Canis lupus familiaris: one gene and its partners. The protein of the gene in region 1 interacts with the protein of each later gene in a pairwise test. Links are inferred from orthologs where the notes say so. Each region holds a gene or a part of one and is shown in the gene's direction. Other genes may lie near its edges. The genes, in order: NT5C2, NME7 and MOB3B.

Region 1 (3,649 bases):
TAGTGCGTATGAATATACAAGCACTTCCTTTATCACAGTTTACATCATCTAGATTTAATAATTCCACACTCATGGATTCCAAAACGGTTGTTTTTTTTGTTTGTTTGTTTTGGTGGGAAAGGGTGATGATGGGGATGGAATTGAACAGAGAAAATATGTAGCCAATTTTGATAATATTAGTGTTAGCATTAGCATCAAAGGGAATGATGGCTTCTTTTGGCATTATTCTGAGGGGACGAGACTCAAGAACCTCCTTCTCCTAAAGAACCTTAAAAATGTTAGGCTTTTTTTTTTTTTTTTTAAGATTTTATTCATTTATTCATGAGGGACACAGAGGGCGGGGGGCGGGGGGTGGACATAGGCAGAGGGAGAAGCAGGTTCCATGCAGGGAGCCTGACGTAGGACTCAATCCTGGGTCTCGTGGATTAGGCCCAAGGCTGAAGGCGACGCTAAACCACTGAGCCACCTGGGCTGCCCCAATTTTAGGCTTTTTAAATATGGCAGATGGTATTAAATATTTTGAAAGTTCACCCTGCTTTCTTAACATTTCAGCTTAATTTAAAAATAATGGATATATACATTAATATGTTACAAGTTGTAAAAGTACAGACAGTACATGAAAGTGTACTTCCCCATCTCTTAGCTACTCAGTTCCCTTCTGTGGAAGTGACCAGTATTACTGGTTTCTTTTATGTAGTTCCAGAAATACTCTAAAAGATTTCTTTTGGCAAGGAAAAGTTGAATAGTACTCATTAAGATTTAGCACTAATTTGGGCCGGCAAACTAATTGCAGTGAAAAATCAGTTTGAGCCATAGGCTGTATAGATTGTGGATAGAAGAACAGTAGTAATCTAATAAGAATAATATTGTGAGATAAAAATGGATTTTTTTTGGCATTGAGCAAGATTGCAGGTCTTTTTATTTTTCTCTTTAATATGGCTTATCTACTCCTAGACACTGATGGGAAGATGCTTACCTAAATACTGCATTGGAGGAAACCTATTTAAAGGAACATCATTTTCTTTATACTGAACTGCAATGATTATTCTGAAAAGTTTTTTGTTATAGAAGATTTCAGAGATCTATAGTAGTAGAGAGAAATACCCATATTCTAAAATACATTTTTTTCACCTGTAACAAGGCTTAGTAGGCTTCTTTGGCAGATATAGATATAGATATCTATGTATATACACACACATACACATGCTCATTTTATACATACAGTTGCATATACCCATCCTTCCATAATGACATCTCATAAAATGAGTCCTAATTCTTTTTTTAATGTGTATTTCCAGTCTTATTGAGAAATAACTGATGTATATCACTGTATAAGTTTAAGACATACAATAAAAATAAGGCATACTGCAAGATGGTTTGATTTGCATATATTGTGAAATGATCATCATAATAGCTTCAGCTAACATCCATCTTCTCACATAAATAAAATGAAAAGAGAAGAATAAATGAAAAAATTTTTCTCCTTGTGATGAGAACTCTAAGGATTTACCCTTTTAACGTTCCTGTATATAATACAATGAGTGGTGTTAGCTAAATTCCTCATGTTGTCTGTTACATCCCTAGTATTTATTTTTATTTGTAACTGGAAATTTGTACCTTTTGACCGCCTTCCTCCAATTCTCCCTCCTCCTACCCCTAGTCATAATTCTTTAATATCTAGTTCCCAGTCCACATCCAGATTTTCCTGATTGTCTCAGGCATGTCTTTTTATGGCTGATATTGCAGCAATAACTTAATGCTATTTTGATGGCTCTAGCCAGACTCTAGCACTGATGAGAAAACAAATTAATCCTGACAAATAGAATTATGTGCTGATTGAAGGAGTATAAAGCAACTACCAAGCCAAATAGGAATTGCAAAAATACTGTTTTTTTGTTTTTTTTTTTAAGGTCATTTTGAAGGATTCCTACACTAACTATACACATCAGTGAAGCCTTCAACATATATACACCTCTCTACCTGGTTAATATCATAGCTGTGCATCTTAGTTTCTTTTTCTACCTTTAGATTGTGGGCATGAAAGAACAGGTAAAGGGAAAAAAAAAGGTTAAGTTTCCTAAGAAATGAAAGAATTATTCTGAAACGTCTGATAATTCATCTTATTGCTCTTGCTCCTATGGAAATATAACCTGTTTCCGCAGACTAACAGTTGAGTTCTGTGATTGGGGCAGTACAAAACGTGGAGTTTGGGGGAAAAGAAGAAAATGGCACATTTAGGAAGAGAGAGGAGTTTAGGAAAGAGTAGAAATTCACTCATTTGCCTTTTATTTTCATTGACTATTATTATAATGAGAACCTCCTCTTTGTGCAGTGTACAAGTCCCCGGAGTATGAGTCTCTTGGCTTTGAGCTTACTGTGGAGAGATTAGTTTCTATTGGCTACCCTCAGGAACTGCTCAGCTTTGCTTATGATTCTACATTCCCTACCAGGTAATTTTTCAAGATTTTTTTGAATTAAGAGCCTTTCCTCTATCCCCCAGATTAATAATTCCAAACCACCTCTCACCATCCTCAGCCTCAAAGAAAAGAACCAAAAAAGGTTATTTGGTTTGTTTCTAGGTTGTTGTTGTTGTTGTTGTGTTTTTTTTTTTTTTTTTGGTTGCTATTCTAAAATTACCATGGGTCTTCATGTACACTGTATCTTTTCTGTTCTTGGAATTGAATTTAGTTTATTGTTACTGAAGAATATCTCTTTATGGGAAAGAGAGATTATTAAAACTGATGGGCAATAATCACAGACACTCCTACTGTTTGCTGTTGGAGAGCAGTTACATGTTGTACTAATACATTTCACTTTGTCATTGGGAGCTTTCTTGGCAGTTTGCATTTTTGGATTTGATAGGGAGGGTTTAAGATTAAGAAAGATGATGTTTGTGATGCCATCATATATGTCCCATATACAGCATCTATTAGAAATATAAGCCAGTTCATTTGTCCAAGGAAATTAAGACTCCTTTAGAATGGAACCACTGTATAAAGAAGAATTATAGTTCATACCTCATTTAAGGCTCTTATTTCTTACAGAAAACAGTTGTGATTATTTATCTGGACAAAGTAAATATTTTTTAGTTGCTCTAGGTTTAGTTTTTAAGATTTTACTCACTTCAGACTCCAGGATTATATTGTTTAGGAACATGCTTGAGTTGTCATAAAAGCTTGAATAAGGTGGTGTTGGTTTATGATGATTTAGTAATACTACATAAGACTGTTGCCTATATTATTTTTGTATTACTGACAGATGTCTTCATTTTCACATAGGGGACTTGTTTTTGATACACTATATGGAAATCTTTTGAAAGTTGATGCATATGGAAATCTTTTGGTCTGTGCACATGGATTCAACTTCATAAGAGGGTGAGTACATAGAACCCTTAGCCTCTTTCTAGTGTTGATACCTTGTCTCCCCAGATGTACTGTACTATACTTTCCTGTTCCCTCATTATTAAAGAACGATTCTTTGTATAAGGATACTTAACAATTACTTATTAGGCAGTTAGGACCCAAACTGACTTATAAATGTAGTTAGCAGTTACATTTTGGGTAAATTAAGTGGTTTCTAATTATATAGCATCCAACAAAGCTAAATTTAAAACTCACCAAAAAGAATTGTAGTGGCTTTGACTTATTTG
Region 2 (3,649 bases), on another chromosome or scaffold:
GGCAAGCTTCCCAATGACTGCTCCTAGCCAGTGCCTGAAAGGAGCAGGGGGAGGCTAAAGCAGTCTGGTTCCTGGAAGTCAGGGAACTCTTGAGGGCTCGCTGGCTCTAGAGCTGCCTGCTGGTCTTGCTGAACCTTCCTTAGATTGTGCAGCAATCCAGGATGAAGGCTCCTTTCTCTCCTTCCTTCGGGTCAGATTTGTCTTACTGTCTGGATCCCTCCCCCTTTTCTTCTATAGGAATAGAATTCTTGCAAGTTTAATCCTGTCATGGTGTCTGCTTCTTGGTGGACTTAGACTAACATTCTCCTACAATTTCTATAAAAAGATACTATCATGTGAAATTACTAAGGAGAGAAAGGATGTTTACTATAATATTTATATCAACTTTAATGATGACAGTATTCTAATACTGCTGGATTCTTAAATTTAGGAAAGTTAAAACTTCATAGAATTGAGGACTAGCTTTTCAGAATTCTTTTCTCATACAGTTTATTGTCTGTATGTATGTAAATTTGCTTTCAGAAGGCTGAATTATTGTAGTAGACAAATCAGGCAGCCATGTTCTAAAAACTGTTGATTTACTCCGGGTGATTGGATGTTGTGAAGTATTAAGCAGTTCATAAGTCATCTCTGAGATATCTAAGGATATTTAATGAGAAATGAGAAGAAAATATTTCTGAGGGTATGTTGATAAGTAATGTATTGTTGAAAGAATAATAAGTAGCAACAGATTTATTTGTTAGAAATATTTGGTTAGGTCTTGCTTTCAACTTATATGATTTATACTAGAGTGCTTATATTTTAAATGTTAATGTTAAAATTCTTCTTTCTTTGCAGAATCATGGTGAAAGGTTCGTTTTCATTGCAGAGTGGTATGATCCAAATGCTTCACTTTTTCGACGTTACGAGCTTTTATTTTACCCAGGGGATGGATCTGTTGAAATGGTAAATAACCTTTTTTTCCTTAAAAGTTAGCAAAGGGAGTAAAGGTGGGATAGGGAGAGGAATAGGATTGCCTTCTATATAGCTGCTTTTGAAAAAAAAATGTATTTTTTCTTTTTTTTTAATAGGAATTCTTTTTTTGGTATTATAATTACAATACAGGAAGATAACGTTGTACCTTTATTTTTCATGTCAAGTAGTAATTAATATTTCTCGATTGAAAAACTGAAGTGAGATTATTCATGTTTAGATTAAGCAATAGTCAATAACTGGTTATAGATAAAGATGATCATGGTCCTAAATATGTCACCATTATTGAAAGCTGTTATCTCTACAAGTCTAATTGAAGAAGATCAGGTTAAGAGAGTCCCACTTATTTCTTTGTGTCTCTTTATTAGCAAACACTTTGCAGGTAGCTCTCTTTGGTATTGGGATTTTGTGTAAGCAAGAAAGCAGAAATTTGGAATTTTTCTGGGATTTCACAAGCACTAATTTGCTGAAATAATTTAGCAATAAACAGATTTTCTATTCATTTTTAAAGTATTAAATTTGTAATAAGTTTTTATGTTATTACTGGATTCAACTAGGAAATACGGAGGTTATAAAAGAAATTATGATTTGTATTTGTAGCAAAAACAAAACAATGTAAGCTATGTTTAATAAAGCAAAATTAAGAATCATTTCTAATTTATACTAAGATTAACATTCTCTATTGACAATTATTTGTCTTATTGTGCTATTGTTTTTGGTTCTAGCATGATGTAAAGAATCACCGCACCTTTTTAAAGCGAACTAAATATGATGATCTTCACTTGGAAGATTTATTTATAGGCAACAAAGTGAATGTCTTTTCTCGACAACTGGTGCTAATTGATTATGGGGATCAATATACCGCTCGCCAACTGGGCAGTAGGAAAGAAAAGTAAGAAAATCTTTTCTTCATCCTTAAAATGTTATATATGTCTAGGTACAAAATTCTAATTTCTTGTTTCTATCTTGTGTTTTTACAGCATAGATACTTTTCTAAGTCAGTGACCCAGTTCAGTGTTAAAACATTTTTAGGATTTTGAAGAGTAGATTCAGTAGTTGCTATTCACTCAGATAACAAAGTGATGCCATAGTCTTCAGCAATGATTATTTTTCTGAAGGAAAAAAATTTATATACCCACATCTTTTTTCTTTTTTTTTTAAGATTTTACTTATTTATCTATTAGAAACACACAGATAAAGGCAGAGACACAGGCAGAGGGAGAAGTAGGATCCCCACAGGAGCCTGATGCGGGACTTGATCCCAGGACTTTGGGATCACAACCTGAGCCAAAGGCAGATACTCAACCACTGAGCCACCCAGGTGCCCCAAAGCCTGCATCTTTCTTCATACGTGCATTTAACTGGGAACTGAGAATGTTTGAATATAAGAAGTATTGGTGTATTGGATAAACCTGGCTTATGGGGGAAAAATAGTCCATAATCTCAGTGGAAACAGAAAAAAAGTAATTTCTTGTGGAAGAGCAAGGAAGGCTCTGAAGGTATTTGAGCTGGATCCTGAAAGATGAATTGGATTTTGCCCCCTTAGATCAAGAGTAGGAAATGCTGGTCAGAGGGATAAGTGTAAGCAGAGGTTCAAAGGCAGAAAGTTGTATGTCATGTTGTGGGAAGAGCCCATTGTTCTGCTTGACTGGTTTGGTGGTTAAAATTTTTTTTTAACTTTGATTTAGTAAAATAGCCTGAATTAGGATGGTAACAGTAAGTATGAAGAGGAAGAAATATGCGAGATAAATAGAAGTAGAGTAATAGTAATAATGGTAAGCACTCAGTGATGGCTAGCTATCATTCTATCAGGCATAATGTTAAAATTATCTGTATGGGTTATTTGAGTCCTGTGACAACCTAATAAAAAAGGAGCTATTATAATTAGCTCCACTTTGCAGGTGGGAGGATTGAGGGTTGGAGGAGATGTTAAGTAGCTTGCTGATGGGCAAGAGGAAAGGCAGGATGAAGCCCACAGTTCAGTGTGAATTAAGAATGGGAGGATTTAATCATAGGAGAATGAGAGGACCTGGAAAATGCTTGCATTCTTTTGGCCTCAATTCGTTAGCATGTCTTCTGGCACCTGGCACATCTCCTTACACGTTACAAGGACCTTACCTGTGTTACCTGAGTGAATCGATGAGTAACAATTTAAAACTTAATATCTAGTCTTGCCTTTTAAAAACCTTTCCTCCCTGTTTACAAATGATGAGCTTTGATCTAGATGACAAAGATATTTTTATATAAAAAATATTTTTGTATAGATTGTAATGAATGTTGTCTATTCTTGAGCTTTATACACAGATGTAATATATATCTGATAGTGACTGATCAAGTGAAGAGTGTTACAAAAACAACAAAAAAGTAACATAATTGTGAGACATAGAAACTTGTCTGTCTTGTTCACAACTGTTTCTCTAAAGACCATCATTGTGATGCCCCAAACAGTAAATTATTCACAAAGAATGCCCCACAAAGACTTGTTGAATGAATGAATGAGTTTACTTCATTGAAAATAGTATGGAGGAGGAGCTTTGGCTGGCCTCCCCAGCTCCTCTCTTCCCTTCTGCTGTATGTGCATGTGGACTCCCCTATGATGCAGAGAAACTGCAGCATGGTGCCTTTCAGAGGTATCTCCTTAGTCTTCTCTCTATATTGTTTGTCAGAGCTGCATTTG
Region 3 (4,418 bases), on another chromosome or scaffold:
AAGCTGAAAAGCAAGGAGAGAGGCAGAGACAGTTCCATTAAGGCCTATTGATTAGAATTGAATGCCCTGTTCACCCTGCTTGCCCTTGCTCATCTGTACCCTGGAGCATGAGCCCTATCTCCAAGGGCAGAAGTTGGATCTCAATGTTCTGCTTTAGTTTCTGAGTCAAGAAACCTTATTTTTCCTCTCTTGACAGGACAGAAAAGATCTTGTCATAGGAATTGTTAAGCAGACAACAGACTTCCTGATTAGAGACTGGTGAGTGAAAGGGAAGGACAATTAAAGGTAAACTGGGGTAATTAAGAGATACTTCCATCCTGATTGTTCTGGATGATGAAGAGTGTTCTGATTGCCATGAGGCCATAGGGACAAGAGGAGCTTTAAAAGCAGTGACTAGGGTTTGAGGCAGTTTGGAAATGAAATTGCATTACTCGATAATCAATAGAATCATTGATTAATGGCTGTATATTTGTATCTATGTCCCCCCTCATGTTTGCGTCTCATACTCACAATCTCCAATACCTTTGCATTGCCCAAGTGGCACAGAATTAAATGGCATCACTTAATCCAGTGTTGATATCATTTGACCATGACTATTTGTTAAATATCTCTTACAATATGAGAAATAACTTGATAGAAGCCATGTGTGTGTGGTTTTAGAGGTTCTCATTTAGTAGGTGTCAAAGCCACTTTTATGGAGGAGGCTGTTAATCACCTACCCTATTTCTACGTAATATATTTCCACACCTCCTGGCACTTGGGTGGCTCAGTTGGTTAAGCATCAGGTCATGATCTCAGGATCCTGGGATCAAGCCCCTACTCCCGGCTGCCGGTTCAGTGGGGAGTCGGCTTCTCCCTCTCCCTCTGCCCTTCCCCTCACCCCTCCTTGTGCAGCTCTCTCAAATAAATAAATAAACAAACAAATAAAATCATGTGTGTATTTCAATACCTCTTTCAAGTGTCTAGTTAGAATCGTAAAATGCAATACTTAGCCATTTGGTACTCCTCCATCAACACGTGTTAAGGTGCTATAGAGGAATAAAGAGATGTGGAAGGCATTATTTTCCTTAGGAAGCTCCTGTCTAGTGACTCCTCTTACTAAGAGTGTCGGAAGATCTTGGAGAAGGTGATTTCCCCTTCTGATGCGCTACCTCCCTCTCCGCGCTGGTGGGAGGGTCTGCCGTGCCGCGAGGCTGGGAGCCCGCGTGCACCGCGCGGTGCCCCCCCCCCGGCCCCCGCCCCCCGCCCCCCATCCTCTGCGGGAGGCAAGTGGAGCCTCCCCGCGACCTGACTTGCCTCGCCCACGGAGCTGCCATTTCGCGGGCGGCCGCCAGGGGGCTCCCCCCCCCCGCCCCGCTCGGCGCCCCCGCGCGAGGGCCGCACGCCGGCGCCTGCGGGGGCTACTCGGGAGCGGCGGCGGCCGGAGCTCCAGCCCCGCGCCCGCCCGCCCGCCCGCCCGCCCGCGCGCTCCTGGCCGCCGCGCGCGCCATCCGGATCCGCAGCCGTCGCCCGCCCCGGCTCGCCCTGGTCCTCGGGAGCCGGCCGCGGCTGGCCCGGCGCAGGAGCCTGCAGGGAGGGCCGCGGGCTGGCGGTCCGAGCCCCACGGTGAGTGAGCGCCGCGCGGGGCCGGGGGCCGGGGGCCGGGAGCGGGCGCACCTGGGGGCCGCGCTCCGGGGCCGCGCTCGTCCGGGGCCGCCCCTGCCCGCGCGCGCCCTTCCCGGGCGGGGCCGGTCCGCAGCCGGGGCCCCGGGGCCGTCCCGAGCGCAGGGCGCCTGCCGCGGGTCCGTCGGGCTGCGGGCGGGCGGCGGGAGACAAACTTTTTGCGAAAGTGCGCGCGGGCGGGAGCGGGGCGCGGGGCGCGGGGCGCGGGGCGCGGGGCGCGGGGCGCGGGGCGGGCAGCGGAGGGGGGGCGGGGACCCCGCGGGCCCCAGCTGTCAAACACGCGTCCCGCCGGCCGTCCTCGCCGCCCGCGGACCCCTCGGACTTCGGGAGCCTGGCAAGTGAGTCCCGCCGTCCCCTTCCTTCTCCCGCCTTCCCGCCGCCTCCCACCCGGCCTCCCCGCAGGGGCCGCGGCACCGAGCCCGTGGGATGGGACGAGCGGCCTTTTGTTCCCCCGCGGCTCCCCCATTGTTTGCCTCCGCAACACCCGGCGGGACTCGCGGAGAGAAGGGCGCCCCCCGCCCCCGTCAGGGGAGCCCGAGCCCCGCGGGGCCGCCGCACCCCGGCCCGAGGCTAGAGGGCGGAGGGGGGCGGGCGGGGGCGGAGGGGGCGGAGGGGGCCGAGGGGGGCGGGCGGGGGCCGGGCGGGGGCCGAGGGGGGCGGGCGGGGGCCGAGGGGGGCCGAGGGGGCCGAGGGGGGCGGGCGGGGGCCGAGGGGGGCGGGCGGCTGCGCACCGCCGACCCCAGACGCGCCGCTGTCCGCAGGCGGGAGGGGAGAGCTCCGGGCCGCGCCGGGTGTCCGCGGCTCCCGCGTGGGCCTCGCCCGCCGCCCCCCGCCCCCCGCCCCCCGCAGCCGGCGTCAGGGCCCTCGCGGCGGGACAGAGGCCGAGGCCCGGGTCTGCGGAGCTCCGCGGGCTGCTCCACAGGCGACGGTGCGGAAGGAAGTAACCCGGGGAGCCTCGAGACTTTGCCTGGAAGCCGCGGGGAGGTGGCTCCCCGAGCCTGAACGTGGGATGTCGACGTGGGCCGGGGCCGCAAGCCGGAGTCCCGGGGCCGCTGTCAGCGCTTGGAAGGCAGACCCGGAGGACCCGGGGCGGCCGCGGCTGGGGGCGATGCTCACGGTCCCAAGTCCTTGCGAACCAGTGGTTTGGGGCAGCCCCCGAGGTTCCCTGGGGGTGCCCCTGCTGGATCATAGGGAGCCCTGTTCCTGTGCCTTCCTTCACCATTACATGCTTCCACATCGTGCTTCTGTTTTAGGGGGGGTGGATTATTGAAGAGGAGGGCAAAAGCGAAGCAGCCGGCCTGGGAAGGCAGGGTCCCCGCGGGGTGCCTGGAGAGGCCCTTTGCCTGTTGAGGGGAGGCCAAGCCTGTGCACCTGTTAGAACCTATGCACGCTCAGCCTTACTAGACCAGCGTTGCCAGCTTTTTCTGATGGAGGCGCAATCATCGCCCAGGCACACTCTTTTCACCCTCTACCTGTTGGTCCCTTCCCCAAGCCTGGGGAGGGAGGAAGCCAGCTTCCATGGAAATGCTTGTGACCTGAGTAACCCACTCGGGCATTTTAAGTGGGAGCTCTTCAGTTCTAGGAGTTTTCCCTTTACCTGACTTAACAGAAATTTGAGTTCCATTCAATAAATAGAAAAACAGAGGAGACTGCTAAGTCAGGAAGGTGGACACAGAGCACTTTCTCTGGCGATTTCTGGATTTTATCGGTGGGACGAACAAAAGAAAAAAAAGCAAAATCTTTGAGGCACTGGGAGATACTTTACAAACATTTCATTATGAAAATGATGCCTAAGGAAAGATTCCTTTGAAATTTAGCAGCAGAAGCAGCAGGAAAGAAGCAATGAGGCTGACTTGGGTTGCTCAAGAAATGCCCAAAGGCATCATTAGCAAAGTGAAAGGGCAGTGTTTGTCCCAGTCTACCCCAGTAAGGAAAACAGGATAATTGTAGTGGAAGATGAGCTTGTACAGTTTCTTTAATTTTAGAATTAACCTCCCCTTCCCCGAATCACTGTAGAAAAAATAGAAAATACAGAGAAGTAAAAATGAAAGCAAAAGAAAGGGAGATATTATAAACAGGGCCCCAATGAATAGTGATTTCCTTGAATAAATTTCTGGAGCTAGTATAGCTAGGTTGAAAGAGTTAATGCACTTTTTAAAGCATATTTAAGATTGTCCTGTAGGAAAGTTGTGCCACTTTACCCGCTCTCTAACAATATACAAGAGGATATTTTCCCCCTGTATCCTGCACCCCACTCATGCTCTGTATTATAATTACCCTTTTTTGTTTCTGCTGAAGGATGAGAGGGGGGTATCCTCTTGTCTTCTTTTGTATTTCCTTAACCACAAATAAGACTAAACATTTTTCTTGTTGTTAGTATTTATTCTTCTATGATGATATCAGTTTATGCCCTTAACCTATTTTTTTTTTTTCCAGTGGGAACATTCTCCTTTTTCTGATTAGAGGTGCTCCTGATAAAAGCATACTGTTCTGACTTCTGACCCTGCCCATGTAATTGGACAATCTTTATTGACTCAAAGTGCCAATTCTCTTCCTTCTAGCATAGTAAACATTTGGCAAGACTGCAACCATAAATTACTAAAATAACTGACATGATCTCGGTAGAGTTATTAGGGAGACTATGCAAAAGCATTGTTAGAAAAATTGTAGGAAAATACTGAGTGTATATTTTCTGCTTAGTAGTTTGCATGCCCCAACATCTTTACAGTTTATGGTGCCTCTTCCTGTCTCTCCCC

What was found.
Region 2: the proteins of NT5C2 (region 1) and NME7 interact in binary tests that used the Homo sapiens proteins (3 or more experiments, as listed by UniProt). The two-hybrid records come from large-scale screens. The link is inferred for Canis lupus familiaris from reciprocal best matches to the Homo sapiens genes NT5C2 and NME7.
Region 3: the proteins of NT5C2 (region 1) and MOB3B interact in binary tests that used the Homo sapiens proteins (3 or more experiments, as listed by UniProt). The two-hybrid records come from large-scale screens. The link is inferred for Canis lupus familiaris from reciprocal best matches to the Homo sapiens genes NT5C2 and MOB3B.

What each region holds. Positions count from the first base shown.
Region 1 is NC_049249.1:15,734,377-15,738,025, reverse strand, and holds part of NT5C2 (cytosolic purine 5'-nucleotidase), read left to right. Parts: intron 1-2,332; coding exon 2,333-2,450; intron 2,451-3,278; coding exon 3,279-3,374; intron 3,375-3,649. UniProt on the Homo sapiens protein: Broad specificity cytosolic 5'-nucleotidase that catalyzes the dephosphorylation of 6-hydroxypurine nucleoside 5'-monophosphates.
Region 2 is NC_049228.1:29,179,248-29,182,896, forward strand, and holds part of NME7 (nucleoside diphosphate kinase 7), read left to right. Parts: intron 1-837; coding exon 838-945; intron 946-1,697; coding exon 1,698-1,864; intron 1,865-3,649. UniProt on the Homo sapiens protein: Possesses an intrinsic kinase activity. Displays 3'-5' exonuclease activity with a preference for single-stranded DNA. Does not seem to have nucleoside diphosphate kinase activity.
Region 3 is NC_049232.1:45,882,853-45,887,270, reverse strand, and holds the start of MOB3B (MOB kinase activator 3B), read left to right. Parts: upstream 1-1,477; 5' UTR 1,478-1,605; intron 1,606-1,890; exon of another isoform or gene 1,891-2,000; intron 2,001-4,418. UniProt on the Homo sapiens protein: Modulates LATS1 expression in the Hippo signaling pathway which plays a pivotal role in organ size control and tumor suppression by restricting proliferation and promoting apoptosis.